Diceros bicornis minor: one gene and its partners. Each later gene encodes a partner of the first gene's protein in a complex. Links are inferred from orthologs where the notes say so. Each region holds a gene or a part of one and is shown in the gene's direction. Other genes may lie near its edges. The genes, in order: EIF3J, EIF3D, EIF3B and EIF3F.

Region 1 (7,743 bases):
CACCTCAAAACTTAAGAGGCTTAAGATGACATCTCTCACAGATCTGTGGGTTGAGTGGGCTCAGCTGGGCAACTCTTGGCTTGGGGTCTTCTGTGATTGCATCAAAAAAGTAGTTGGAGATGGAATCATTTGAAGGCTCAACTAGGCTGGATGTCCAAGATGGCTTCTTCACTCCTATATCTGTTATCTCTGCTGGGATAATCTGAAACAGCCAGCGGCTGGCTGAGTATTTCTCTCTCCCTAAACAGCCTCTCCATATAGTTAGCTTGAATCAGCATGATAGTAAGACTTCCTAAATGGTGGCTGACTTCCACCAGAGTGAGCATTCCAAAAGGTGCAGGTGGAAGCTGCAAGGCTTGTTGTGGCCTAGCTTTAGATGTCATTTCTGTCCTATTCTACTGGTCAAAAATGAATCACAAGGCTAGCCCAGACTCAAGGGGAAGAGACTACATAAGGAGTTGAGTACTGCTCACTAAAGGGCCATCTTTGGAGACCATCAGAGAATCTGGTGGTTCCACTGGGTTACTTACATCCCATCTAGGGGCAGATTCAGATTTTATATGGTTTGAAGCATATACAATTTGGAGGGCTTTCTTGAAGAATGGAAGGGGCCCATGCAATGAGGGTCCCTCAAGCTAAAGCTTCATTAGCTTCAGTTAATCTGCTTCTGACCCCCTTCCCAAATCAGCTATGGTAATGGAGCAAACATGACCCTAGGGAGTCCACCTACTCTTGTATACTAGGACAATTTTCAGAAAAGGAATTATTATTATTTTTAAATACCTTTGTTATGGACAATTTTTTTTTTTTGTGAGGAAGATCAGCCCTGAGCTAACATCCATGCCAATCCTCCTCTTTTTGCTGAGGAAGACCAGCCCTGAGCTAACATCTATTGCCAATCCTCCTCCTTTTTTTCCCTTTTTCTCCCCAAAGCCCCAGTGGATAGTTGTATGTCATAGTTGCACATCCTTCTAGTTGCTGTATGTAGGACGTGGCCTCAGCATGGCCGGAGAAGCGGTGCGTTGGTGTGCACCGAGGATCCGAACCCGGGCCGCCAGTAGTGGAGTGCATGCACTTAACCACTAAGCCACGGGGCAGGCCCCAGAAAAGGAATTATTGTGAGCTTTCCCCACCCCTCACCAGAAGTGCCCAATGTTCAGTTCAATATAATCTGATCATTTGAATCACAAGAACCCAGGTCTCTTGACTTCCAACAGTGAATTTTCAAATATACCATAATTCATAGTATTTTAAAATTTATATTTTTTACCAAAAAAAGTGGTAGAATTGGAAGGATACAAAATTTTTTTAAAAACTTACTATCCTTTCTATACCTTTTTCCTCTGGCTGCTGCTTAAATGTTATGTCCTTCAAGGTTTCTTCTCATTCTTTCCTATCTTCAGATGGCCTCTACTTCCACATGATTCCATCCACCACCATAATCAGATGACTCCAAATCTTCTATCTGGAGCCCAGATTTCTTCAGTTCCAAATGTGTCCTAGACATTTCCATTTGGATGTCCCATAGGAATATCAAGATCTGAGTGGCCAAAACTTAATTTATCCTTATTCCTTATTATGATGAGAGGCACCATTCAGTCATTTTCAGAAACATTTATTGAGCATTTACTACATGGCAGACACTGGGAGTACAGTAGTCAAGAACACAAGGTCCCTGTGCTTCAAACAGACATTAAATAAACAAGGTCATTAGAGATTGTGATAAATGCTATGACAAAAACAGAGTGACGAGATAGAGTCACTAGGGGAGGCCCCTTGCAGGAGGGAGATCAGGGAAGAAAGAGCTTTTTGCAAAGGTAACATATGAACTTTGATTTGAAGGAGGAAGAAAAGCCAACCATACAAAGAGGTGTGGAAGAGCACTGTAGGCAGAAAGAACAGCAAGTGCAAAGTCCAAAAATAGGGAAAGGCTTAGTAGGCCCTCTACCTGAGGGCCAGGAGCAACTGAGGTTAATGAAAGAGAATGGCATAAGGGGCTTGGTGGGAGGAGGCAGGAGTCAGGAGTCAGGAGTCAGACTATACAGGGCCTTGTAAGCTATAGTAAGGAGTTGGATTTTACCCTAAAAATAACAAGAAGCCACTAAAGGGATTTCAACTGAGAGAAAGGGGTGTGACGATCTGATTTACAATTTTTTTTTTTGGTGAGGGAGATGGGACCTGAGCTAACATCTATTGCCAGTCTTCCTCTTTTTGCTTGAGGAAGATTGTCCCTGAGCTAACATGTGTGCCAATCTTCTTCTATTTTTTGTATGTGGGATGCCGCCATAGCATGGCTTAATGAGCTGTGCATAGGTCCACACCTGGAATCCGAACCCATGAACCCCAGACCACCGAAGCAGAGCACGCAAACTTAACCACTACACCAGTGGGCTGGCCCCTGATTTACATTTTTAAATTAAAAAAACTGCCTGGTGCGTAGTGAATAGATTGTGGAGAGGGAAGAGTGGAAGCAGGAAAACCAATTGGGAGGTTATTATACTAGAACAGTCTAGAGAAAGCTTGGATTGAGGTGGTAGCAAGAGTCAGGGGGGTAATTAAATGAACTCAAGATTAATATTGGTAGTAATTCACAGAACTTGGTGATGGATTGAATTTAGGGGGTGAGAGAGAGGAAGAAAGCAAGGAAAGCTCACAGGTTTTTGACTTGAGCATCTATAGATGGGCGTCACCACCACTCACTCAATCTCCAAAGGCATTACCTTCTATGTACTTCTCCCTTCCCCTCCTCCTCCATATCCAGTCAATCACTGTAGCAGTCAGGGTTATCCAGAGAAAAAGAACCAATAGGATGTGTATATATACACAGAAAAAGGTTTATTTTAAGGAACTGGCTTGCAGGATTGCGGGAGCTGGCAAGTCCAAAATCTGCAGGGCAGGCCAGCAGGCTGGAGACCCAGGGGAGAGCTGATGCTGCAGAGTCCAAAGGCAGTCTGGTGGTAGAATTCCTTTTTCCTCATTATGTTTTCTTAAGGCCTTCAACTGATTAGATGAGACCTAGCCACATTAGGGAGGGTAATCTGCTTTACTCAAAGTCTACTGATTTAACTGTTAATCACATACAACAAATACATTCGCAGCAACAACTAGAATAGTGATTGACCAAAAACTGGGTAGATGGCCTAGCTAAGTTGGCACATAAAATTAACCATCATAGTCACTAAATTCTGTTGATTTTGACCCTTAAATATTTCTCAGATTTGTTCCTTCTTTCCTGTCGCCCTTGCCTTACTTTTAGGCTTGTATTCTTCTCATTTAATTCATAAAATATTTACTTATGTATTAGATACTGTGCCAAATACTGGAGATACACTGTGAATAAAAGATTGTGCCCTAAGGACCTTATATTCCAGTCTTTCCCTGCCTTCTGTCTTGCCTCCTTCCAATCCATCTTTCTAAATGGATGCCTGTATATCATTGCCTCTCACACTTTAATGCACAAAGTCTCATCTGAAGATCTTGTTAAAAGGCAGATTCTGATTCAGTAGGTCTGGGATGGGGCCTGAGATTCTGCATTTCTAACAAGCTCCCAAGGTGTTGCTGCTGATGGAGGGACAAACTTTAAGTAATTGGGCTGTAGAATCTCTCTTAAAAGCCCATCTTTACGAAATGTGTATTTGTAGACTCTCTGAAAAGATACACAAGAAATGGGGAACAATGGTTGCCACTAGAAAGAATAGAATAGCTGAACACTGTATACAGCTTTTTATAACTTGAATGTTGTACCAAGTATGTATTCGACAATAAAACATGTGAAACTGCTCTCCTCTTAAACCCTCTGCAGCAAAGACCAGTGGCCCAAAAGGCAGAGTGCAGCTTAGCCTATCTTAAGCCCTTTATTATGATCAGTTTACCTGCTCAGCTTATCTGCGATTGTCTCACTCAGTCAGGTGAGGGACCATATGCGTTCTTTCTATTGGAAGTGCACTTGAGCAAACTTCACTTGGTCTTTCAAACTCCAATTTCCGCAGCGCTTACCTCAAGAAGACTTTCATGCATCCCCGCTCCCCCCGCCGTTATTGTTACCTTTTTACATTAACCTCACAATGTTTCTTTTTGTTGCAGCCATCACACTGTGTCGAAACTTGTTTACACGTCTATCTATGTTACTTGATTATGCGCTCCTTGAAGACAAGGCTAGAGTTTATGCCTAGCGCAGACTGAGTTTCAAAATTATTCTACGAAATAATGAATCATGTACTGGCCTCATGAGGCTCACAGGACAGGAAAATCCTCGAGCACTGGGGCTCTCTTCGATCCCTTCGTGACTAACTCGACGCAAACGTGCCAGGAGCTGACTCCAAGCACCCTGGCTGGGAAGAGTGCCAGGAACGCGGCTCTCTCCACTCGCTCCTTCCCGGGCGCCCCGCGCACACCGGCTTCCCGAGGGATCCCTCCTCCCCCAGCGCGCGAGCGGGCCCTCGGGGGGTCAGCGAGGCCCGTCCACCGCCCCCAGAGGCGGCCGTGGCGTTCAGAGTCCGCTTCTCAGCGCGGCGTGAAGAGGCTGGGGGTCTCCACAAGCAGCCACAGGCGGCGATCAAAGTGACCAGAGGGAGGGCGCACCCGACCAGTCGGGGCGGGGCTGGGCTTGGTAGGGGAAGGATGGCGAGAACAGGCGAGGGCCAAGCGCCAGGCAAGGTACCGCCCTGCTAAGTTCCCCGCACTCACGTTTCCTCCCCGGGGCCCAGGCTAGGGTGGCGGTCTCCGGCCTCTTCATCTCTCCCCGCCCCACTATCCACCAGGACTGTTCCGCGTCGTGGGGTACCGGACGCTCGCCTCGCCAGCCCGCGCTACCCACGCCCCACTGACCGCATTCCACGCCCCCTTCCCGCCTGCGCGCGCGTCCCCGCCGCCACCAGAGGGGGCGGGGCCTGGGTCCCGGCGTAGTCAGCCACGGTCCCAGCCTGCCCCGCGCCAGCCAACGAGAGCAAATCCAGTGACTCACCTCCGCCGCGCTAACTCTTCTCGCTCACTCCTCACACACGCTCACGCCCGGCTCGAGATGGCGGCTGCGGCGGGGGACTCCGACTCCTGGGGTGAGCAAAAGTTCCGGGGGCAGGGCCCGGGCCGGCGCTGGCACCATGCCGAGACAGGGACTAACGCGGCTCGCTCTCTTCCGTAGACGCAGACACGTTCTCCGTGGAAGACCCGGTGCGGAAAGTGGGGGGCGGCGGCACCGCCGGCGGGGACCGCTGGGAAGGCGAGGACGAGGACGAGGACGTCAAGGTGGGTGCGGGCCGGGGCTCCGGGCAGCGCGGGAGCGGACTGGCGCCGTCGCGGGCGGGGTTGCCTGCCGACGGGCGGGCTGATGGACTCTGGGCCCAGGGGCGCCGCCCGGGCCTCCAGGCGCGATCGTAGGGCCTGGCGGTGCCCCCTTCCCCTCCGCTCGCCGGCCGTACGGACCGGAGACGGGCAGCGTTGCCTCGGACTTCCTTGGCGAGGGCGGCGGCCGGGCCCCAGCCCTTGTTTGAGGGTCCGCGCTCCGGCCTGGATTCCACCCCCCAACTGGCGACAGGAGATGACAGCAGCGTCTGGGCCGGTCCACGTGCAGACTTCGCGGCCCGGAGCCGCTCCCCGGGGTGAGACTGGGAAGTTGGGGATTGAGCCGCATGGCTCGTCCCATATGGAAAGTCTTGCAACCCACCTGCCTCTTCGAGCTCAGGTCTCCCCAGGGCCAGTAACTAATTTATGTCTCCGAAGGCCCATTTGTAGAATTTGTTCAAGCAGTTAGATGAGTGAAATATTGTTTAATTTCAATCTATTTTTCATAAAAGACAAATAAAAACAATAAAGTGAAATAAGTTTTAGCCTTCCTTCCCCGACCCTGTGGTAAAAGGATAAACTGAGTCCTGAGATAGCCCACAGTTAATGGTCAGAAACCTGAAAAATGGGGAGTTGACAGAGTGAGTTATTCGTCTAAACACGAGTGACGTCCAAAGAAATATTGAAGATTTAGTGGTTGGAGTGGACGAGGCAGGGCAGTGTTTATTTTTTCCTATTGCTTGTAGGTGTGAACCAGATACCTTCCTCGTTTGTGTTTTGAAAACTCTTGGGGGGCCTCCGCATATGGCTTCAGATGACATCGTGACTACTGCATTCCTTGTTTTTTTTTTTTCCCTTTGAAGTAGCTACAGAAGTCTCAAGCCCAGAATGTTAAGACTCTTATTGACAAAGTTCTCCAAGTCTTATACTGTATTTGTGTAGATAAAGTTTTGTATGGATTGGAAATGTTTTTTTTGTGGTTTTGATTCATTTGGTGAATGTTTTAATCTCCTAACTTCCACCCTTCAGCACATACTGAGAACCCTACAGTTCCTTCTGCTTGGGTTGAAAAAATTTATGCTAATCACTATGAACTTAATACTACCTTTGTTTGGATTTTACTGTTTTGTCTTGAGTCTGATGACGTGGATGTCCAGTTTATCAAACAGCCAGGTACAGGAATGAAGTGAGCTTTGCACCCTTTGGGGTTAATAAATGAGTAGTACTATTGTGAGGATACTTAGATGCTTTATTTACTTGTTGTGTAGACATGGGAATGGATTGTGTTGTCAGACTCATTACAAGATATGTCACCTTCCCACATTGTAGTGAATTTTCTGTTTTGAGCCTTTAGTTCAGATTTGTCCATTCACTTTTTCTGTGCATACTGGATGTAGCATTTAAGACATCTGTTATGAAAATTGGGAACAAGTTGGCAAATGAGAAGAAAAGATTAGAGAAATCAGGAAAGAAGTACCAGAAAATGAAGTTTGAATGGATCAGTCTAGACTGATCATGAAGTAGCCTGCCTGAGGTTATTGAATCTAAATGGTGTCAATCCTGATAAATATAATTCTGACCACTTGGAACTAATTTTGGAGATTTACAAGTTTTAAGGGACCATAAAGATCATCTTGTCCAGTCACCCTTTCAGTGCCGAGTTTCTTTTATACAAATAGCTTATTTCTTTTCTTCTTTTTTTTTTTGTGAGGAACATCAGCCCTGAGCTAACATCCATGCCAATCCTCCTCTTTTTGCTGAGGAAGACCAGCCCTGAGTTAACATCTGTTGCCAGTCCTCCTTTTTTCCCCTTTTTCTCCCCAAAGCCCCAGTAGATAGCTGTATGTCATAGTTGCACATCCTTCTAGTTGCTGTATGTAGGACGCCGCCTCAGCATGGCCTGACAAGCGGTGCATCGGTTCGCGCCAGGGATCCAAACCTGGAGCGCGCACACAGCTAAGCCACGGGGCCAGCCCCACTAATAGCTTCTTTCTTTTTTTGTTTTTTGGTGAGGAAGATCAGCCCTGAGCTAACATCCAATGCCAATCGTCCTCTTTTTTTGCTGAGGAAGACTGGCCCTGGGCTAACATCTGTGCTCATCTTCGACTTTATATGGGATGCTGCCTCAGCATGGCTTGACAAGCGGTGCGTTGGTGCGTGCCCGGGATCCGAACCTGCAAACCCTGGGCCGGGCTGTCGAAGCAGAGTGCGCACACTTAACTGCTATGCCACCGGGCCGGCCCCGGCTTATTTCTTTTACATAAACTTTGACGTCGATCTTGGAGAAGAAAGCTGAACTGTCTGTTTTATTTCCAAGTTGAAATGTTGGTTTCTTTCTTTTGAGTTTCTCCAAGATTCCCAAGATACGGTAGCTATGGAGTAGTTTGATTCCTGGACTTGGGAATCAGGCAGACCTGGGTTTATATTGTTGCCTTGACATTTTCTATATTTGTGGTCATAAAT
Region 2 (7,272 bases), on another chromosome or scaffold:
CCTGGGGAAATTCTGGAGCTGCCACTGAGATGCAGGATAGGAAGGGTCTGAGGAAATTAGAGAGCAGAGGCAAGAGACAGAGGAGGGAGGCCAGAAAGAGAACCTTCCAAATCTCAAGAAAGCCTCCTCCACCACCCTGTAAGGGTGGGAGGTTTTGAGGACACAAAGGTGCTCTCAGATCCTGGCTCGGCCACTTACTCCCTGGGCCCGGTACCCAACTCCCCTGAGCCTGCTTCTCCCCACCTGTGTTAATGGGAGGTCGATGCCTGTCTCCGAGAGCTCTTAGAAAGAATCAGAGAGATGATGATTTACGTAAAGCACTAGCACAGGGCCTGACATGTAGTAAGCACTCAATAAATGCTACTTCCCCTTTTTAAGGCATCGGAGCTTCCTATTAGAAAATGCGTTTGTCTTACTTGGAAGGGACAGGACAGGACAGAACAGCACAAAAGGCTGATGAGAAAAGAGCAGTAACGGTGCCTCTCTCCTCTAGACATGACATGAAGGGATGTACACGGAGGGCCTGGCGGGCACCTGTGGGTCCCCCTTTCTCAGCTTAGAAAATGCTTTGCAGTCACTCCCTCAGTTGGACGGGAAGCTTGTGAAGACAAGGATCTCACTCAATCATTACACCCACAGAGTCCTGCTGCAGAGGGTGGCCCTCAGTATGCAAGTTAAATAACGACCTCTGACAATGTTGATCCTTTTACTCATTGACTTCAACAGCAAAGGACTCTGTCACTTATGAACTGCTGTGCTGATGTTAGCCATTATTAGCAATAATGAAAAGTGAGTCATTTAATTGCCCAAAGACACTGTTTACGCTTCTCCAAACTGGAAAGATGCTGTGAAGTCTCCTTTTGAGAAAAGGGTACCTGCCCTCAAATGTACGCTTTTCTGGCATGAATGTTGAGTTTTTTATTTTACAGCCTCTAAAAGCAGTATCTGGAGGCCCCGGATTCACTAAGCGTTTCCTGGGTGCGCTCTGTGTGTCATGCACTGTGCTGGGCCACGGGGCTTCCTCCAGGAATAACGCAGCCCCGTGCTGGGGGAACCCAGGCAGGGGTAGGAGAGGTGGGGACACTGGTAACAGAAGCATAACAGAGGGCTCTGCCAAGTGTCGTGGACACACGGAGGAGAGAACTTGTCCTCAGAGGTCACTCATCCACCCAACAAACATCTTCCAAGCGCCCACTATGTGGTAAGCAGCACTCTAGGCGCTGGGGAACCAGCAGTGAACACGACATATAAGATCCCACCTCTCATGAGGCTTATGTTCTAACAAGGAGACAATAAATAAGTAAACAAGTCAACAGACAAGATTATTTTAGCAGAGGTAAACGTTAGTCATCTGGTGACACACTAACGGGATATGTGGAAGAAGAGGGAGCGAGGCGGCCTCCTGAGTCTGAACCCCCAGCTTCACCACACACTGTTGAACCCGGGGCACTTCCCCATGCCTCCATCTCCTCATCTGTAAAATGGGAAGAACAGCAGGCCCTGCCTCACGGGCTGTGGCGGGAACTGCAGGAGTTAACAGAAGTTCTTGGAATCGTATCAGGCACTCAGTGAGCAAGAGAGTGAATGAGGACAGCGCAAGGCCACTCAGAGGGGCGGTCAGGAAACGCCTGTTTGCTGAGCATGCAGGCTGGTGAAGATCTAGGGGACATGCATTCCAGGCACCAGAGAACAGCAGGCGAAAAGGTCTCAAGGCAGGAATGAGCCCGAGTATGACCCAGAAAGAGGAAGCTGCCATTCAGAAACTTGCAGACCACAGAACAGAGTATGGGCTTCTGTTCTCAGGATAAAGATAAGCCACTGAAAGGCTTCAAAGAGGGGAGGGAGGGAGGGAGTGCATGCTCTGATCTAATGTAAAGGACAGTCATTCCAGCTGCGCTTGGACAACGGACAGTGGGTTAGGCAGAAGGAGGCAGCAGGGGCGTCAGATGTGAGGAGGAAGGGAGGCGAGATCTCCACCCACACCCAGGGACCCACTACTGAGAACGAGACTGGACTCTCCAAACCCTTCTCCATCTGGGGTGGGCAGGGACGTCTGGGCCAAACCATGGGAAAGATGATTAAACTCTGACACGAGAGAGACTGCAGCAGATGGGCTGTGGGCCCACAGCAAAAAAACAAAGAAGAAGAAGAAAACAAAAGACATGATCCAAGCAATTCAGCAAAAATACATCTCTCTTTGCATTTTAGAACATATTACAATTTACTATTGATATTAATTATACTAACATTGAATATTTATGTACGTGCCAGGGTAATATGCTAAATTCATTTTCTCGTTTAATTCTCACAAAACCCCTACCCATTCATTCAACAATTCAACAAACATGTATTACCAGGCATTGTTCTAGGTAAGAGAGACAGAACCTCTATTCTTGTGGGGCTTACACTCTGCAAGAGAGAGACAGAGCCTAAACAAGGAAACAATATTTCAGAGTGATGAAAACTACAAAGAAAATGAAGCAAAGTAACAGGGTGCGGAAGGATGGAGGGAGGAGCAGCTGTTTTAGGAATGGTGGTCAGGGAAGATCTCTTGAGGGGATAACTCCTGAGCAGAGACACGGATCATGGGACCAAGCCAGGCATGGGTAAATCTGGGGAAGAGTGCACCACGAAGAAGACACAGCAAGTGCAGAGGGCCTGCTGAGACGGAAATGAGGCTGGTGTATTTGAGGCATAAAAAGAAGACCATGGTAGCTAGAGCAGAGTGAGTACAGAATGGCAGGATATAAAGTTGAAAGGTAGCCAGGGACCAGACAGCCCAAGGAAGACATTCACGTTTCACTCTAAGCACATAATGGGAAGCTGCTGCAAGCTTGTGAACAGATGGCCTTGACCACTATGTGGAGAAGGAACCCTAGAGGAACAAAAGTGCACACTGGGGGTCCAAGCACGAGGCTGGACATGGTGGGGGAAAGGGGTAGCATTCAAGATGTACTTTGAAAGTAGAATAAAGAGGACTTAGCGAAGGATTCAGTGTGGTGGAAAAGGGAAAAGGAACTACCAATGATGACTACAAGGTTTTGCACTGGGTACTGTTAACAAAAATTAGGAAAACTGGAAGATGAGCCGATTGGAAGAGAACGTGTGGAAACAGATGCTGCTATTAACATTTTCATTTTACAGATGAGGAAGCAGGTTTAGAGAGATGGAATAACCTGTGCAAGTTCACCCAACTGGTAAGTGGGATGACTAAGTATTCTCACGCACATTTATTTTTACCCTCACAGCACCCCCTTATTATTATCTCCAATTTACAGAAAAGGAAACTGAGGCTCAGAGATGTGAAGGTCACACAGCTGGAAAGCGGCAGAGCCGAGAGTACAGATCTGTCTAATAGCAGATATATTTCCCAATAAAGGAGCCTCGCTGGGATACTGACAAGGAAACTTAGGAGACCAGGCAGAAAAGGATCTGAGGTTTGAAGAAAATCACGCCCTCAGACTCTTCTTTCAACGTTTTGCAATTCCCCACTAAGACTCCAGGACAAACTCGAAGGTTCGGAGTTGCGGAAAGAACAACATTGTTGCCCACTGTAGAAAAGCGGTTCCTGAGTCGCCATTTCAGAATCACAGCTGTTAATTAAAATGCAGATTCCCGGGCTCCCGTTTAGACGTCTTGAAGCACAATCTATGGAGATGAGACTCGGAATCTGCATTTCCCAAATTAGCACTCCAGAAATCTTTGTCGTACAATAAAGTTTGAGAACTGTGGGAGTATGGTTTGAACCCTGGCAGCCACTTCCTAAACTAGCAGTCTGTACACGTAGGTCACTTCCCACCTCTGGGCCTCAGTTTCCTAAGCTGTCAGAGCAGGAGGAGGGAGGATAGCAACAAAATCTTCCCGAGACACTCGGCCGCCCCCTAGCGGTGAGGACCGAACCACACGATTGGGTGAAGAAGGCAAGAGCCCCGGGTCATTGTGGGATACAGAGGGGCCGGAGAGCCCCGTGAAGCATTGTGGGACACAGAGGGGCTGGCAGCCGCTCCCTGCCTCCAGCTTGGATTGCACGGCCGCCACGTTTCAACAATCCTGAACGCCCTCTCGGGGCGTCGCCGGATGCCCCGTGACGTAACTGTAAACACTCTTCTTGCGTCTTGGCGCCTCAGAGGCTAACGAGGACACCTCTCACAGAGCAGTGACGAATTTCCGGGTGCGTCTTCGCTTTACGACTCGTGTGTCCCGCCGTCGAACCCGGAGGAAGCTGGAGCGCAGTTTACGACAGCGCCGGTCGTGTTTACGGCGCCGGCCTCTGCGCGCGCACTTTTTCTCTTTTCCTGGTACATCGAGCTGTAGCCGGTGGCGAAGTCCCCGGCCCGAACCATCCCTCGCCATCTGGGCCGCCCGAGGCTGTTGCAGGTGAGCGGCGGGTTCTGTAAAGTTCCGCGGACCTCCAGGGCCGGCTTGGGCTGGGCCCGGCCTTCGGGGGCCCCCGGAAGAGACCTGCTGTACGTCCCCTTTTGCCAGTGCCTTCCCTCCGCTGGGCGGGGCAGGAATCCACTTTCGGGGGCCCCAAGCCCGGCGCGCAGCGGGATGCAGGGCACGGCCCTGGGGGTGAGGGCCCTGGCCCTAGGCTCCGCTTCTTGGCCACGGGCTGGGGGAATCTGATAATCTCATTTAAGCCCGCTGGCTCTCAGGGGCTTTTTAAAGTGGCCAAAGCGTTTCTGAGTTTCCGAGTGAGGTACTGGGGGTGCCAGGCTGAGCGATATTCGACCCTGCTCTGAGGAGTTCACTGTCCGAGGCTTCCTTCCCTTTTCTGTGAGATAGAAGGCTAGAAGGGAGTCGATTGATCTCCGATCTGAAACGCCCTCCCCCTAGGGATCGATGGTGTACGATCTGCAGTGGCCTTGACGATCTACACAATACGGTGGCCTGCTAGACCCAGGGCTCCTTCTCACTGCCCTGTCGGTGCCGCCCCATCCCGCCCCTGTAGCCGGTACAGCTGTCACTCCGATTTAACTGAACGGCTCCGTTTGTCCTGCTGGTTCCATTTCTCTCACTCTGTTTCCCATGTGCTGAAGCCAGGGGACTTACTCCCACTCCCTGGAGAAGTGCATGTCAAGCCTTGGGCCTCTTTCCTTCTTGAGCTGTGACAGAACAACTGAATGTTCAAAACAGCGTGTTTCGAGACTTCGTTGCTGTGTTATTAGGTGTGGTCTAGAACCCCAGGTATTTCAGGCTGCTGTCCAGCCATAATACGATGGGAAGAATGCTGGATTGATGGCAGACAACCCTGGAGATTAAATTACGTTTAAACGATGGGCAGATCAGCTGCTTGATTTGGCTGAGCTGCAAATTTTTGTCTCTAAAGTGGAGGTATGGGGGAGTTAGCGCTGTTAACACATCTAGTGTGGTGCCTGACACATAGCAGGAACTCAGTAAATACTTATTTAACGTGAACCGTTTTGAGATCACCACCCCTTCTCTCAGTCCTCTTCCTATAGTGTAACTTAGGTTCAGAGTGGGAGGATGATGCTCCCAGATTTGCTCCCTGTTGCTGTCACCCAAGTGTCACCTCTGTGGGAAGCCTTAGTCTCCCCATCATGGGACAATGAGGAGAGTTTACTAAGTTCAGTATACCTGAGCTCTTTGATGGCTCTCCAGCCTCCAGAAACATTCGTGTAATGAATTTTCCTCTGGGACCTCCCCTTCTGAGCATTTTCAGAGAGTTACGGTGGATGATAAATGCATAGGTTTTGCTAGGAACTGTCAGGCAAACATCTGTCTGGAGCCCCTGGTTTTTACTTTCCGGAGAGAAACTGTAGCATCATGCAGAGTGTGGACTCTGGGGCCAGATGGCTGGGTTCAAATTTTTCATCAGCTAGCACTTCAGTTCGACTTTGGGCAATTTCTTATCTTGTCTGTGCCTCAATTTTCTTATCTGGAAAGTAGGGATAATACTGGCCCCTGCCTCAGGATTGTTGGGAGGCTTTAATGAATTTATGCGTGGTGAGCACTAGGAACAATGCTTGGTACTCGTGGTATTTATGAACATTGGATGCATGGCCACTTTTGTGACCTAAGGTTTCTGGTGACCTCCTCAGCCTTCTGGCAGACCTTTTGCTTGGCTCTGTGTCCACGTGTTCTGCATAAGGATTTGCATTGATACAGAAAATTGGAAGAATAAGAAAAGTAAGTTGAATTTCAAGATAATATTTACAGATTCTATTTTTCTTAGCACTCTTGTGTGTAAATGTGTTTTTGCAAGTCTGAATAGTAATTGTGTGGCGTTTTACAGTGAAAGCATTTACCTGTGTGTTAACTAATAAGAGTTTCACAATGATTCTGTGATATATATAAAACAAGGATCGTATTTATTTTACAGATGAGGAGACTGAGGCTTAGGGAAGTTGGGTATTGTATGCCTTGGTGAAGGTGTTTCTGAGAACCAGAACGTGGTGATTACACTTGAAAAAAAGTTACTGCGTTTCATCAAATCTGTGAGGGCCGGCCCCATGGCTTAGCGGTTAAGTGCGTGCACTCCGCTGCTGGCGACCCGGGTTCGAATCCCGGGCGCGCACCGACGCACTGCTTCTCCAGCCATGCTGAGGCTGCGTCCCACATACAGCAACTAGAAGGATGTGCAACTATGACATACAACTATCTACTGGGGCTTTGGGGGAAAAAATAAATAAAAAAAAAAATTATAAAATCTGTGAGAGACCACCGAATTTAAGAATCACGTTATTTTATCTAACACTAAGAAAGAAACTGCCAGTTAAGATATGACACCCCATCAAACATAAGGTGCAGCCTCGTCTCAAAGATGTTACAGTGAAAAAAGTGGGTGTCATAGAGTTTATGAAATCTGGTAAGGCAGTTTTGTTTGCAGTCTTCTTCTTTTTTTTTTTTTTTTTTGAGGAAGATCGGCCCTGAGCTAACATCTGCCAATCCTCCTCTTTTTGCTGAGGAAGACTGGCCCTGGGCTAACATCCGTGCCCATCTTCCTCCACTTCATATGGGACGCCACCACAGCACCACAGCATTGTTTGCCAAGCGGTGCATTGGTGCGTGCCCGGGATCCAAACCGGCGAACCCCGGGCCACCATAGCAGAGCACGCGCACTTAACCACTTGTGCCACCAGGCTGGCCCCAGCAGTCTTCTAAATTTTAAGTATTCACAATATTATCTGCAAGAAAATATTGTTAGCGGTAGCACAACAGTTGAAGGCTCCATTTTGCGTGTTGCTTTTTGAGTTTTATCACTTATGTCTTCGCTTACCTCAAACAGAAACCCTTTTGTGCTTTAAGACC
Region 3 (7,104 bases), on another chromosome or scaffold:
GGCAGCCGATTCATCAAAAAGACAAAGCAACCCTAAATGTGTATGCACCTGTTATAGAACTTCAAAGAACATGAAAAAAGTGATAAAACTGAAAGTAGAAATACACAAATCCATCATCAGAACCGGCGATTCCAACATTGCTCTCTCAGCCAACTGACAGAACAAGTGGACAGAAAATCAGTAAGGTTTCAGAAGACTTGAACAAAGCTCTCAATCCACTTGACCCAAGTGACATTTATTGAACACTTCACCCAACAGCAGCAGCACATTTGTCAAGTGTACAAGGAACGTGCACCCAGGTAGATCACACTCTTAGCCATGAAACAAATCTCAATACATTTTAAAAAGGATTGAAATCATACAAAGGTATGTTTCAGTCACAACAGACTTCAACTAGAAAGCAATTTTGGAAACATGTCTGGAAAATCCTCAAACATCTGGAAATTAATAACACATTTCTAAATAATCCATGGGTCTGAGAAAAAATCATAATGGAAGTTAGAAAACACTTGCAACAGAAAATACAACGTATTATAATTTGTGGGATGTAACTAAAGTAGCATGTAGAGGGAAATTTACAGCCTTAATCTCAGGTGGTGTCATTCTGCTCCCTCCATCACACGGTTCCCTATCAACCTCTCATCCACCGGTTGCAGGACCATTGCTTAGATCTTTATTTCACAAGGGTTGCAGAATGCTGCCTCTCCAATTTTATTGATCCTTCTGCATGTATTAGCTAGAATTCTTCAATAAAGAAGGACAATCCCTAATCAACTATTTGGTTACCTTAAAATATAAGGTAAAATAAGAGAGGCAAGATTACTTATTTTTTGCTAGAGTCTTTTGTCTTTACAACAATGAGATAATGTCCCAGCAAGAGTCACCAGTGATGAATGTTTTTTTTTTAACAGCATTATGAACTAATGGATTTAAACATACTTTATTTATGTCAATCATATGCAGTTTTTTATTCTTTTTGAGGCTCAAATTGTTGCAGTGGGGGGCCTCTTAAAGCTGGCTCCTGAGTCCTTCCCCCTCAACAATTTATTATAAAAATTTTCAAACATACACAAAAGTTGAGAGAATTTTACAGTGAAGAGTAAATCTACCACCTAGAATCTATAATTAACATTTTTTTTGACCAACACTACCAATACTACTTACCTTCATCAAACACTTTTTTCAGTTCAGCGTGTATCCTTCTAGGCCTTTTTCTATGTATTTTACTTACGCTATTAGTTAGCTCAGGCTGCTGTAAAAAAAATACCACAGACCGGGCAGCTTAAACAACAGAAATTTCTCTCTCACAGTTCTGGAGGCTGGGAGTTTGAGATCAAGGTGTTGGCAGGTTTGGTTTCTCCTGAGGCCTCTCTCAAGACACGGGCTGGCACTGCCTCCATCTGAAGGCTTGACTGGGGCTGGAGGATCCATTTCCATTTCATATGTCTGGCAGCTCGGTGCTGATGCTGTCTGGGGAGCTCAGTTCCTCCACACTGGGGCGCCTCCACACACTGCATGAGTGTCCTCAGGACAAGGTGGCCAGCTTCTTTCAGACCCAGTGATTCGAGAGAGAGTGAACCGGGAGCAAGCATATCATTTTTATTTTTTATTTTATTTTATTTTATTTTTTGTGAGGAAGATCAGCCCTGAGCTAACATCTGATGCCAATCCTCCTCTTTTTTCTGAGGAAGACTGGCCCTGAGCTAACATCTGTGCCCATGTTCCTCTACTTTATATGGGATGCCGCCACAGCATGGCTCAACAAGCAGTGCGTCGGTGCACGCCTGGGATCCGAGCCGGCGAACCCCGGGCCGCCGCAGCGGAGCACGCGCACCGAACTGCTTGCGCCACCGGGCCGGCCCCAAGCATATCATTTTTAGGACCTGGACTTGGAAGGTACACAGCATCACTTCTGCCACAAGCTATTCATGAGAAGCCAGTGACTAAGTCCACCCACACTTCAGAGGAGCAGGGTTTGGCTTCCCCTTTTGAAAGAAAGCGTGTCAAAGAATTTATGAACCTATCACAGATGCACTTTTACACTCACATCTGTGATGCTTTGATTCCTGAATGTTGCCCCTGCTACACTGCAATTCTAAGACGGCAACAATCATACATGCTGTACTCACCACTGTATCCCCAATGCAGAGCACCTCCCACTTAGGCACTTATAATTTGAGTATCAATTACAGTGCTTCTCAGGCATTTGAGGATAGCGGAACTGCTGATCTTGGTCCTCTCCCTAGAACACTATGAAATATATTTTGAAAATGTACGTTTCTTTTTTTTGCATCATGAGCACAACACAATTTCACCTGCATTAAAGGATACAATTTTCCCCTCACTGGGAAATAGTAATGAGTGGCTACTCTATGCAACACATGCATGCCACAAAAGTCTTTCCTAAGAAACATGCAGCTGGCCAATGAAGGTCAACTATTTTCCAGCTTTTTTTTTTTTTGTGAGGAAGATTGGCCCTGCTCTAACATCTGTGCCCATCTTCCTCTATTTTGTATATGGGACGCTGCCACAGCATGGGGCTTCATGAGAAGTGTGCAGGTCTGCACTCAGGATCTGAACCTGCAAACCCCAGGCTGCCGCAGGGAAGCGCCCGAACTTAACTACTATGCCACCAGGCCAGCCCCTGTTTTCCAGCTTTTCTGTGAATATTTGCTTCTTGTTCATTGATTTGTCACCTTTAGCACCTTCTAGAAGAGAAGGGGTAGCATAGCCCAATGATCTATGAAAACTGCAGATACAACTAGAAATCAAGAGCATAACTTTGACTTCTAGGAGAAATCAGTTTGCCTTGGTGAAGGCGGTCCACAGGCCACGCACACAAAATGAGTTACCCCTCATTTTACAGATGGGATAACTGAGGCAGAGATGCCAGGAGACTTGCCCAAAGTTACACGGCTGAAAAGTAAGATGAGGAGGATTCACACCTAGTATTAGGCAACCTAAGAACCCTAGTTCTTTTTTTTTTTCTCTCTTTCAATTGTGGTAAAATATACATGACATTAAACTTACCATGTTAGCCATTTTTCAGTGTGCAGTGCAGCAGCATTAAGCACATCCACACTGTTGTGCACCATCTCCACCATCCATCTCCAGAATTCGTTCATCTTCCCAAACTGAAACTCTGCACTCATTAAACACTAATTCCCCATTCCCCTCCCCCAGAACCACAACCACCGGCTGCCACCAAAATAGGAGCTACAAACACAGAACACCCTTTTCAGAGCGAAACCCACCCTCCAGCGCCGGCCCCGCCCCCGCGGCTGGCTCCGCCCCGCCCCCACGTGACCCGCGCTCGCTCCAGCGGAGGCCTCCGTGGGCCGAACCACGGCGACCATGAGAACGGGGAGAGGTGGAATTACAGCCGCCACGGTGGGCTTGGGCGTAAGTGATTAAAGCAGCTCTCATTCATTTTCGTATCGTGCCAGGCAATCGTCTTCCTAGTCGTGTTGTCCATCTCCGGCTCAACGGCCGAGAATTCCTTTTATGTTTTGGAAGCGTCCATCCATGTGCCCACTCAGTGGACGAGTCTAAACACCGACACGTGAAGGGGGGACCTAGTAATGTAAGCTAAACTGATGAGAGGCTAAAGATATCACAATAAAAATAGTTGGTTGAACTTACAGTTTCTTGTAGTATTACTTTTTGAGTTACATATTTTCCTGCAGTTCCGTATACCAAGATACCTTCTGCTCCTTCCCTGCGGCGTCACCAATAGTTAAGTCCTTCGCCGCAGCGCCCGACGGGAGAAGGAGGTGCCTGGCTGCCATGTTGGACGGAACCACCCGCTCCCACAAATGGGGGAGCTCGAGCTCCCCATGAGTTTGTAGTTACACCAGAGGCGCTTTGGTGATTGGAGTTTCGCACGTGCTTCTCACACGAGCGTTATCGTAATCATCAGTGGACACAATGCTGCCCTTTTGTTCCTCTGGCCACGCTGTCAGGAGTCAGGGCGTGGGCGGCCCACCCCCGCTCCGAGTCTGATGGAACGCCCCGCGCACGCACATGGCCCGCGGTCGGCGCGCAGTGCGACCTGGGAGAGTCGGAAGCGCGGCGCGGCGGGGCGAGGTGAGGTGGTAGCGGCGGGCCATGCAGGACGCGGAGAACGTGGCCGCGACCGAGGCGGGCGAGCAGCGGGCCGAGCCCGGGCAGCAGCAGCAGCAGCAGCAGCAGCAGCAGCAGCAGCAGCAGCCGGCCTCCGAGCCGCCGCCGGGGGAGGACTCGCCGCGGCCCGCGGGGGCCGGCGCGCAGGAGGCGGCGGGCGGCGAGGACGCAGCGGCGGAGGTTGAGACTGGGCTGGGGCCTGACGTGCGAGCCGAGCCCGCAGCCGACGGGGAGGAAGCGGCCGGCGCGGCTCTCGGGTCGTCTGCGGCGCCGCTCGAGGAGCCCCCCGCCCCCGTCCCGGCCGCGGGCGAGGCGCCGGGGGAGCAGGCCCAGGACGCGGCGGCCGAGGCCGGGTCCGAGGGGGCGGGCGGGGAGCAGGGCGGGGCGGCGGAGGACGCCGGCGCGGACGAGCCTTCCTTCAGCGACCCCGAGGACTTTGTGGACGACGTGAGCGAGGAAGGTGAGGCGGTGTGGCTGTCTGCGCGGAGCTTCCCGAGGCCCCGAACGCGGAACGGGTCACCGCGCATCTTGGAGCCCACCAGGGGCTTTGCCCCGTGGAACTCAGCATGGAGGTCCCCATTCTCCACTCGTCGTCCCTCACGTAGGAAAGGTGTCCTGTGACAGCCTGGGTGCTTTCATTTCTCTCCAAAAAGAAAAGAGGGGACAGGATGGAGACTGCTTGGGGAGCCAGTTATTTGCACTCTAACCGGGAATTCGGGGAGTGGCGACGGCGGACGGCGTGCACGCAGGAGCTGTGGCCGTGTGGGCAGTGGTGTGGCTATTAGGGTCGAGCAAACAGGACACTCCAGTGCTGCACAGTCTCGGGTGACAGTTTTCCCTCAACAGGCCTGGATGCCTCGAATGACAGCCACACCTGTCAAATGTCTGAAAGTGACTTAGTGCCGGCTTCTTAGGGGCAGATGGGACGCTATCCTCAGAATAGGTTATGGCAGAGCTGGTTCCTTTGCCGCTGCCCCACGGAAGCGTTTTCTTCCAGAGAGTTCTTAGTAGGACAGTGCCAGGCCGACTCTGCCAGCCACCTGTTTGGTTATCCCTTTTCCTCAGTGTAGGCAGACGCCATTCTTGTGTTGGCAGATCTCAGGGTTTAGTGTTGTCGACTGTAGCTTGCTTTGCCTTCCTTTCTACATTGATTCAATTTATAGGCAGTACCTCTGCTTCCTGCCTGAGAAAGCCTGTCTTCTAAAGTGACTTTTGGTGATAGCTAATCTCATTTGTTTTTACTCGTGTATGTTTTTTTTTTAGCTATTTGAATTCTGCAAGCTGGGAGCACATCAGTGGGTTCCTTTGTGTATTGACTGTTGTAGTAAAATAGGAAAAATAAATAAAACATCAATGAAATAGCCAGTAATACACCAAGAAAATAAGATGTTACAATATCGAGATGTAGATGTGTTTTTGAGATATTGTGTCTGATCACAGTGAAGTTGAGTCTGAATTATAAAGAATCTCAAGTAAAATGAGAAAGAAAACTTAGGGAACCAACACAGAGTTGTCAACTTTTAATTTAAACATAATTTTAAAGAGCTACCTGTTACTGTCGCTGTTAGCGTACATTATTTCGTAAGACAAAAGATATTTTAGCATGAAAAGCAGGAAAGGCTCCACAAGCTAGTGAAGACTTGAGAGCCACGGACTGGAAGCCCCTCAGCCAAGAGGAAATGTGTTCCTTATGGCGAGGTAGGTTGCTGAGAACTCACAGGGAGGCGGTGTCGCTGGGACACCCCCTCCCCATCCTGCTGCCCAGACCAGCATTCTTTTTTACCGCAGCAATTTATATTGTATTGTAAAATCGAAGTTTTGATGTTAAAGCCTATTTTGAGCTCTTCAGTATTTACTCTGTGATTGATTTTTTTAAAGCATTATTTGAGCACATCTAATTCATACAAGATTTCTAGCATGTGAATTATTTCCAGAATTGGAGTGTGTGGCAGTCAGAGGATGCTGCAATGAGCATAGGCCAGCCAGGCTAGGTGACTGCTGGGAGGGCCTTTGGGAGCCTTTGTGATCCTCATATTTTTACCAGAGTGAGCTGTGAAGCTCCTGGTCCTAAGGAACTAAAACTGAGCAGGCCAGCTGTCAGTTTTCTTGAGGCTACTTGGTTATGGTCAGTAGCTCAAGTACAAATTGTGGGGTGAGAATTGCCCAGTAGGGGGTCAGAGAGCACTGCAGAAGGCAGTAAGGGTTCTTTTGAAAATGGACTGAGTCTCCTGAAAAGCCCTCTCGTGGGTGCAATATAAGCACCACAAAGTCATCTTGCCTCATTCTTTGAGACAGATCAGCACTGATACCAGCTCAACACGAGGTTGACATAAGGGAAGCCATATTGTAACTTTGAATGATCTCTGACTAACTCTGGATTTTATGGCCCCTCCCAGCTGCTATAAATTGATAACTTTGTTCTTTTGAGTTCCTTAGAAATGTGGTGATCCCTGGGCAGAGACTCTGCTGATAGCCATCATCAGTGACAGCTGAAAGATTAGGGTACAGGGCGTTGCTCCAGTCTCTGATGCATATCCAGTAAAACAAAAGACTGCCAGGGACTAAGACCAGATGGATGCCCCCACCCTGAGACCAGATGCCCCGCCTAGAGATCAGAGGGATGTCCCTACCATGAGACCAGATGCCTCCCACACCTGGAGACCAGCCCTCTCTATAACTGGCCTGTAGTCTTTGTTCTGTAAGATGGTGCTTTGAGACATTAGTCAGCCATCTTTTCCCTTGCTAGCAAGCTCTTATAAACTACCCTTTCTCTGCCACCATCTTGCCTCTTGACGATTGGCTTTTGTCTCTCAGTGAGCAGATCGTGCCCTGTGTACAGTAACAAGCACTGTCGCGCAGTTGCATCTCAATTAGTCATCCTTTCAGTTTTTCAACTGCCTTTGGTGCTCCGTCAAACTGATATATGATAAAAGTTTTAACTAAATGTCTTCTGTTTTGGCTCATTAAACATTATTTATATTT
Region 4 (7,940 bases), on another chromosome or scaffold:
TTCATTTTTTCTACATTTTTCTTTAGAAAATCTTTATTATTTTCTTTAAGCTGTCTTTTGAAAAACCAATCCTAGTTTTAGTGTAGCCAACTTTGTCAGTGCTGTCTTTTACAGTTAGGGCTTTTGGGGTTTTATTTAAGAAATACTTTCTATTTGAATGTCAGAGAGATAGACATCTACCTCTGTATATTTTAATGTGTTTAAGGTATTGTTCTAACCTCTTAGTCTAGCAGGAATTTTTTAATTCTATTTTTTGAATTGTCCTTCCTTTCCCCATTAATCTGCCATGATACTTTTTTATATATCAAAGTGTCATAAATGCCTAGTACAGTTTCTGGCTCTTTTTTATTGTTGTTCCATTTCATCTATTCTGCACCAATACAATGATTTACTAATTACTATATCTCCAGTTTTAAAAGGTCTTGAAATCTGGTAGAGCAGGTCCAATATTATGTTTTAATTACTACAGTTTTAGGATATGTCTCAATGTTTGATAGCACAGGATCTCCCTCCCATTCTGCCATCTTTTTCATGAAAACCGTGTTGGCTATTCTCGGCCCTTTGCTTTTTCCTATACGTTTTAGAACACGTTTGTAAAATTTGACGGATTTAGATTGCATTGACTCTAAAGGTTTATTAGAGGTGAATTGACGTCTTGGTGATATTAAGTTTTCCTATTTGTGATCATGGATTATAATTTATTTAGGTCTTATTTAATGCATTTCTGTAAAGTTTTATAATTTTCTATGTATGGGTCTTGCACATATTTTGTTGTTTATATTTTTGTTGCTTTTGTAAATGGTGTACTTATAATGACATTTTCTAATTTTTTATTGTTGATGCATAGAAGAGCAATAGCTTGTTCATCTGTCAGATCTATCCACCTATTGTTTTAATAATTTATCTATGAATTGAATTCTTTTGGGTTTTCTATGCAGGTAACCATTATTTGCAGAAAATGGCTTTTACTTTCTCATTCCTAATCCTTATGCCTTTGATTGTTTTCCTTTTTCGGACTGTGCTGGCTGGGACTCTGGTTAAATGTTGAATTAAAGTGGTGATAGCAGCCATGCTTGTCTTGTTCCTGATTTTAAAGGGAATACCTCTTCTAATGTTCTTAGGTGCTGGCGACGAGCAGAGACAAACTGTGGGAGGCAGCCCACCAGCCTGCCTGTGCCAGGCCCGGTCTGCAGAAGGACGGGGCCATGGTTCCTGCACAGCTCTGCCCCATCAGGGAAGGCTGAGTTAAGTCTCAAGTTCCAGTTGCTACAGAGTCAAGAGAGCCTGGGGCTCCCCCTTGTGGTCCTCCTATAGTTGCAGCTGTAGCTGGGGCTCCCTTCACTCCAACCATCGTTGAGGAGGTGGGATGGGTTTATCAAGCTGCAGGCCCCATCTTTAACATGAGCCTACAGTTATGACCCTGGTCTTTTCAGGCAGGACTATCAAGCTTGTTCCCCAGGACAGTCAGAAACCCAGATGTGACGGTGAATTTTATGTGTCAACTTGACAGGGGTGCAGGGTCCCCAGATATTTGGTCAAACAGTATTCTGAGTGTGTCTATGAGGGTGCTTTTGGATGAGTTTAACATTTAAATTGATAGACTGAGTAAAGCAGATTGCTCTCCCTAATACGGGTGGGCCTCATCCAATCAATTGAAGGCCTGAAGAGAACAAAAGGGCTGACCCTCCCTTGAATAAGAGGGAACTCCTCCTGCCTGATTGCTTGAACAGGACACCGGTCTTTTCTAGCCTTCAGACTCAAACTGAAACATCAGCTCTCCCTGGGTCTTGAGCCTGCCTCTAGTCCGTCAGACTAGAACTATATATTGGCTCTCCTGGGTCTCCAGCTTGCTGACTAAAGATCTTGGGACTTCTCAGCCTCCATAATCATGTGAGCCAATTCCTTATTTATTTATATATATATATATATATATATATTTATCCTGTCAGTTCCTCTGCAGAACTCTGACCAATACACCATGTACACAACACATTTTCCAAATACAAGGGGACAGCCCATTTTCTCTCTCCCCATGCCTTCTGCCCTTTCCTGATGAATCTGGGCCCCAGAGTTTCATTTATAGGGTTCAGCCTGCCTGGATCCCTCAGTCAGCCATTGAAAAGCGAACATCCTGGATGTATGCACTCCCTTGTCCTGGCCAGTCAGCATGCCTAGGAAGACCATGCCAAAGATCTCTCTCCTCCTGCCCCTGAGCAATGTGGCTGGAGAAACATACAAGAGCTGACCAGATCCTTGAGGTCTCCAGGCTCAGCTGGGCCCTCTCATAATTGATCAATGCCTTTGATGGCTCACTCTTGGCCCCTCTTCCAAATGCTGTCCATTGTCCCAAAGCTGAACCCCACCCTTGCATTGCCATTCTCAGCAGATCACTCTGCCTCCACCTCCCTGAGAAAAATATCAATTGACAAGAGCTCCTGCAACTTCCCTTCTCTCCCCAATTCAAAGTGTCTCCGATTCTTCATCCATCCCTTTCTCCTTTCCTCCCAGAGAGAAAGGTCTTTAGGCCATCTATATAAAGGCAAAGTTCTTGGTGGTGAAGTGTCCACATCCAACTCAAATCAACACATGGATAGGCATTCCAAGGGTGTGTATGGTCAGTTTGGGATGGCAACACCTATTCCTAAGGGGTGATTCTCTCCTCTGGCCTTCTTTCCATAGGATGATCTCACGGGACCAGCCCTGGCTAAAGGAGACCCCCACTAGGAACCCACAAGGGAGGCCACAGCCCAGGGCAGCCTCTGCAGCATATCCTCCATCCTGTGCAAGACCATCCCTCTCATCTAGGCTTCTCCATTCAGGTCCTCCTTCCTGCCTTGTTTCATTAGACAGTTTCCCTAGCTCACACTTGTATATTCAATCTTTCTCTCTCCTCTAGATCCTTACCCTTAGCTTAAAATATACTAAAAACTCTCCCAGCCACAACTGTCCCCCTCTCAATCTTGCCGTTCCCCCAGCTACTGCCTTAAATGTCTCCTTTCCTTCCCAGGCAACTTCCTTGAGAGAGTAGCCAGCACTCACTGCCATCATTTCAAGCTGGCCATTCTCTCACACCTGAATTCTGGTTTCCGTGTCCACTCCACCCTCAATTCCACTGACACTGCTCTACTAGTGCTGGTAAAAATCCAGGTCATCAAATCCAAGAGTCATTATTCAATCCTCCTCTGATAGGCGGTTCACTTGTGTTTGGGGGAATTAAAAGAGAGAATGTCTACCCAGTGCACTAACAGGGGAACAGTATCATGTGAATTCTGATTATGGAAGGGAGCTCCAAGGAGAAAGCAGTTCTTGGACATAAGAGTCAAGGCTAAGAAGTTCAACCTCACCACCGACCTGGCCAGCTGGATGCTGGGATTTGACCTAAGTAAGGGAGTTGACAGGTTTCCTGACAGGCAAATGTTAACATCCCCATTATACCAAGAAGGAAGCTGAGGCTCAGAAAAAAATTATCAATTGCCCAAAATTACACAAGGAGTGAGGCTCAGAGCTCCTTCTATCACATCGTACTAATAATAGCTACCACTTAACAATAACAAATGCTGTATATCAGGCATATGCTAAGAGCTTTACAGAGCATTACTCAGTTAATCGTCTCCCAAAGTACAGACTAGAATCTCTACCTGACCACTCTACAGTTCTGTTTGGATGTCTAATGAGATGCCCGATCTCAAGGGTGACACATCCAACAATGAACTTGGGATCTTTTCCCAAAAACCTGCTCCACTTGTAGCTTTCACTATCTCAACTGATGGCAACTTCTTGATACTAGTTGCTCAGCACAAAACACTGGAGTCATTCTTGACTCCTCTTTTTCACACCTCGCATACAACTTCTCAGAAAATCCTGTTGTCTCTACCCTCAAAGTATGGCCGTAATCTGCCCACTTCTCACCACTTCCACTGCCGCTGGCCTGGTCCCAACCACCATCACCTCTCACTTAGGCTTCCTGGGAATCTCCATGCATGTCTCCCTGCTCTTTCTCTCTCACCTCCCTCTCTCCAATAACCGCCCCTCCATTCTATTCTTCTCTAAGCAGTCAGAGTGATCCTTTTAAAACTAAGATCAGGATTCTCCCCTGCTCACAACCCTGCAGTGGCTCCCCATCTCACTCAGACTAAAAGCCAAAGTCCTTACTGTGGCCTAGGAGGTCTTTAATGATCTGCTCCCTGACCCCTATGTAGAGGTCCATCTCTTGCTGCTCCGGGCCTTGCTCCTAACACTCCAGCCACCCCATAGCCTCCTCAAGCACACCAGGCCTGCTCCTTAGCTGTGCCCTCTACCTGGAGGCTCTCCCCGTCCCCCAACAATGGCCGCCTCCTTCGCCTCCTTCAAGTCCACTCATATTCTCTGCTACTTTTTCCTTTTTCACAGCACTTATCACCTTCTAACTTATTATATAATGTACTCATTTGTCTCTCCCCGTTAGAATGTAAACTCTTCTGGGGCAACGATATTTGTTTTATTAGCAGATATATCCCGAACGCCTAAAAGAGCGTCTGGCACAGATTCAAATTGTTGAATGAATAAACCACCATACTGACACCTTATGACGCTGTCAAGAACAAAGTCCTTTAAAAGGCATTTTGACATCCACTATTTTCCCACTGAAATCTGAGAACAGGAATTGCGACCCTTGCGCTGCTCTCCGGCTCCGTGGGGCGGCGGCAGCACAGACAGAATTGTTTCTCTTCTCCAACCGCGGGCCCAAGTTTACTCGGAACTATTTAGCTTGTTTCTCACTGAGTGCCTATCGGACCAAAGTCAAAGAGCACAAACTAAGAGCAGGAAATTGTAGTGCCGTGAGAAGCATCATCAGTAACCAATAGGCACAAAGATCTAGTTCACGTGGTGCGTTTTCAGCCTATCGTGTGCCTAATATTCCCTAACTCGCTCCCTTCCGCTCCCGGCTCTTTCTCTCTCGACAAGATGGCCACACCGACAGTACCGGCGAGTGCTTCTCCCGCCACTCAAGCCCCTTCCCCAGCTGCGGCCCCAGCCCCGGCGTCAGCCCCAGCCCCAGCCTCCCCCTCAGCTCCGGCTGCGCCGCCGGCTCCAGCTCCATCGCCGGCTCCAGCCTCATCCTCAGACCCGGCGGCGGCGGCTGGGACCGCGGCCCCGGGACAGACCCCGGCCTCAGCGCCAGCCCCCGCGCAGACGCCGGCGCAGTCGCTGCCCGGGCCTGCGCTCCCAGGCCCCTTCCCCGGCGGCCGCGTGGTCCGGCTGCACCCCGTCATTTTGGCCTCCATCGTGGACAGCTACGAGCGACGCAACGAGGGCGCTGCCCGAGTCATCGGGACCCTGCTGGGTGAGTGGTCAGGGTAATCGACGTTCTCTTCTATCTCCCACGGCCTTTTGTCTTGCTCACCTCTCTTCCCATTCCTACTGACCTCTTACTGTTTCTCTATCTCACCTTCCTGCTGCGACTTAACTCCCCAAGGAACTTGAACTTTCCTGCCCGATTGCTGTCACTTTGGGCGACATAAAATACGTAAAGAGTAGTTGGTTATTGAATAAATATCTATAAGTGTGCCGAGTGACGTAGGTTTTATTTTTGATCTTCACGACAGCATTTCACGTCAGTTGTAATTAGTGCCAGTTCACCGCGAATGAGTTCAGGCGCAGACTAGGAAGTCAAAACCTCTGGCTCCCTAAGCCCAGAGACCACGTTTTCCCCCCTTATCTAGTGACTAAATGTCTTTATTTTCCAGTTGTTTACAAAGAAGTTTCTAACCGGTTGGCAAAGGAGTGGGGCATCTGTAAAAAGATAACCCTCTCAACAAGTAAATTTGTTTGGCAGGATCCCATTTAGGATTTCAGTAGTATTCTGCTTTCCTAAACATCTTAGCCTGATCCTCTGTTCCTTACTAGTTCCTAATGCCGGAGACCCTGTTTCCCCAGTCCGTCTCTAATTCTCTGTTTGGACACAAACGATTGTATTATCTGTTTATGATATTGTTTAACCTTCAGATGGAAGAATAACTTTTTCCCTGTCGAAGTTCCAAATTTGGAGTATACATATCTTAAAGTAATTTGTAAAACTGAGAAGCGCTGAAACGGAATTACTGATATATCTCTTTCTTTGGGGACTGCTGATCTCATCAAATTCATTTTCACTCCATCTTAGTTACAGATTTTAAACACCTTTGTGAATCCACTCCACTCCCATGCATTATTTCTCTTTCTAACTCTTGAACGTGTACTAGTCCTTCCAGCTTAGAAGAAAATTGATGTTTTGCAAAAAGGACCAAATTGGTAGGCAGCCTCCACCACATATTAGCCACGTGCCTTGGGACAGATTACCTAAAGTCTAGTTCCTTCAGGGGCTACTTTAGACTTAGTTCTCACAAAGACTAAGTTATTACAGAAAGCATCTAACTGTGCTGGCACACATTAAGTGTAAAACCGCCGTTGGTTGCCGTCCTCCACATCAGGCCTATACCAGCCCTAACACATGCATACATTCTTCCTCTCTTTATCTTTGAGGGTGTAGCATTTTCCAGAAACTTCAAATGATCCATTATCTTCCAAACATTGCCACGGTTTCTCTCACACCAAGCCTCTGTATTCTCTTTGCCACAAGTGCCTTGCCTGCTCACCCTCATTTGTTTAAGTTCCACTCATCTTCCAGGTTCCCAGGATGAGTGTTCAGTATCAGTCCTCCATCCCAGACCCCTGCCCCAACCCCCATTCTTGGTTATTTTTGGTTTTCTTTTTTGTAAGGCAGATCAGCCCTGAGCTAACATCCGATGCCCATCCTCCTCTTTTTGCTGAGGAAGACTGGCCCTGGGCTAACATCCGTGCCCATCTTCCTCTACTTTATATGGGACGCCACCACAGCATGGCTTGACAAGCGGTGCGTCAGTCCACACCCAGGATCCAAACCTGCGAACCCTGGGCCGCTGAAGCGGAGCACGCACGCTTAACCGCTACACCACTGGGCTGGCCCCCACCTCACCCCCATTCTTAACCTCTGTGACTGCCCTGCTTTGAGCTTCTGTAACAGATGATTTTTGCATCACTGGCTTGGCACTAGACAAATACTAATTTAGTCTTTCAGCTGTACCCTCAAAGTTTCCAGACTCACTGGAGCTGATTAAAGAAACAGTTCTCCAACCGAGGTTTGTGCTGTGTGCCCCAAATATGCCAGTGACCCTAGTTAGACCAACTGTGATCTAGATGTTTAGATCCTCTTCCAGATTGGGATCACGGTACAGTGCTTGGTGTTATTGAGGCAGTACTTACTGAAGAATGAAGCATAGATTCTGCTTACCAGGAACTTAACGAAAGCAAAGGAACGCTTACAAAGCATTCCTAGATTTGCTTGCTAAGAACTTAAATTTTCTCAGTTAGACATTAATTCATAAAACATATTTCATTTGGTTAATTGAAGTCACTGATACCTTTTATGTACCATAAAACTGTTAGGTACTTAGAATTCAAAGTTTGATAAAACAAACTCTAACCTTAAACTCAAGATGAAGATATACTCATATGCAGCTAATTAGAACATAATGTGATAAATGCTGTAACAGAGGAGTGTCATAGTGGCATGGAAACTCAGAAGACTTAACTTTTTCAGGAGCTTGAAGTGCTCAAGTCTGTTGAATGCTGATGAGAGGTCAAAGAATGTGAATCCATTGGGTTTGGGGACATAGTTTCAGCTAAGCGGGCAAAAACCATAGTGAAGTGGAATTAAGCAGACACTGACAGTTATAGGCAACACTGTGGTCTGTGGTGGAGAGGGAAGCACTTGAAGCCTGGCGTGGGAGGTGCCAGTAGATTAGGAAAAAATGGAGAGGTCGAGGGACTAGTGGTCTTAGTGAGGTCAAGAAACAGATGTAGTGGGAGTAAAGGTATCAGAGCTGGAAGAACAGAAGGTTGTGGTAAGAGACTGACATTGATGTTTAAGGTTCACAGGTAGG

The links.
Region 2: EIF3J (region 1) and EIF3D share a complex: the UniProt entries of both Homo sapiens proteins name them as parts of the eukaryotic translation initiation factor 3 (eIF-3) complex. The link is inferred for Diceros bicornis minor from reciprocal best matches to the Homo sapiens genes EIF3J and EIF3D.
Region 3: the proteins of EIF3J (region 1) and EIF3B are in contact, whole or in part, in an NMR structure (PDB 2KRB), measured with the Homo sapiens proteins. The link is inferred for Diceros bicornis minor from reciprocal best matches to the Homo sapiens genes EIF3J and EIF3B. Residues at the interface, in NP_003749.2 of Homo sapiens: Asp45, Glu46, Asp50, Asn51, Trp52, Asp53, Asp54, Asp55; in NP_001032360.1 of Homo sapiens: Lys202, Asn205, Val206, Ile207, Lys209, Ile210, Lys213, Asn249, Ala250, Asp251, Gly252, Tyr253, Lys254, Leu255, Phe261.
Region 4: EIF3J (region 1) and EIF3F share a complex: the UniProt entries of both Homo sapiens proteins name them as parts of the eukaryotic translation initiation factor 3 (eIF-3) complex. The link is inferred for Diceros bicornis minor from reciprocal best matches to the Homo sapiens genes EIF3J and EIF3F.

Annotation. Positions count from the first base shown.
Region 1 is NC_080744.1:41,734,698-41,742,440, forward strand, and holds the start of EIF3J (eukaryotic translation initiation factor 3 subunit J), read left to right. Parts: upstream 1-4,725; 5' UTR 4,726-5,020; coding exon 5,021-5,054; intron 5,055-5,140; coding exon 5,141-5,244; intron 5,245-7,743. UniProt on the Homo sapiens protein: Component of the eukaryotic translation initiation factor 3 (eIF-3) complex, which is required for several steps in the initiation of protein synthesis.
Region 2 is NC_080764.1:13,075,163-13,082,434, forward strand, and holds the start of EIF3D (eukaryotic translation initiation factor 3 subunit D), read left to right. Parts: upstream 1-4,268; 5' UTR 4,269-4,377; intron 4,378-4,444; exon of another isoform or gene 4,445-4,466; intron 4,467-6,062; 5' UTR 6,063-6,150; intron 6,151-7,272. UniProt on the Homo sapiens protein: mRNA cap-binding component of the eukaryotic translation initiation factor 3 (eIF-3) complex, a complex required for several steps in the initiation of protein synthesis of a specialized repertoire of mRNAs.
Region 3 is NC_080765.1:12,217,438-12,224,541, reverse strand, and holds the start of EIF3B (eukaryotic translation initiation factor 3 subunit B), read left to right. Parts: upstream 1-4,091; 5' UTR 4,092-4,107; coding exon 4,108-4,582; intron 4,583-7,104.
Region 4 is NC_080746.1:66,883,390-66,891,329, forward strand, and holds the start of EIF3F (eukaryotic translation initiation factor 3 subunit F), read left to right. Parts: upstream 1-4,929; 5' UTR 4,930-4,944; coding exon 4,945-5,323; intron 5,324-7,940. UniProt on the Homo sapiens protein: Component of the eukaryotic translation initiation factor 3 (eIF-3) complex, which is required for several steps in the initiation of protein synthesis.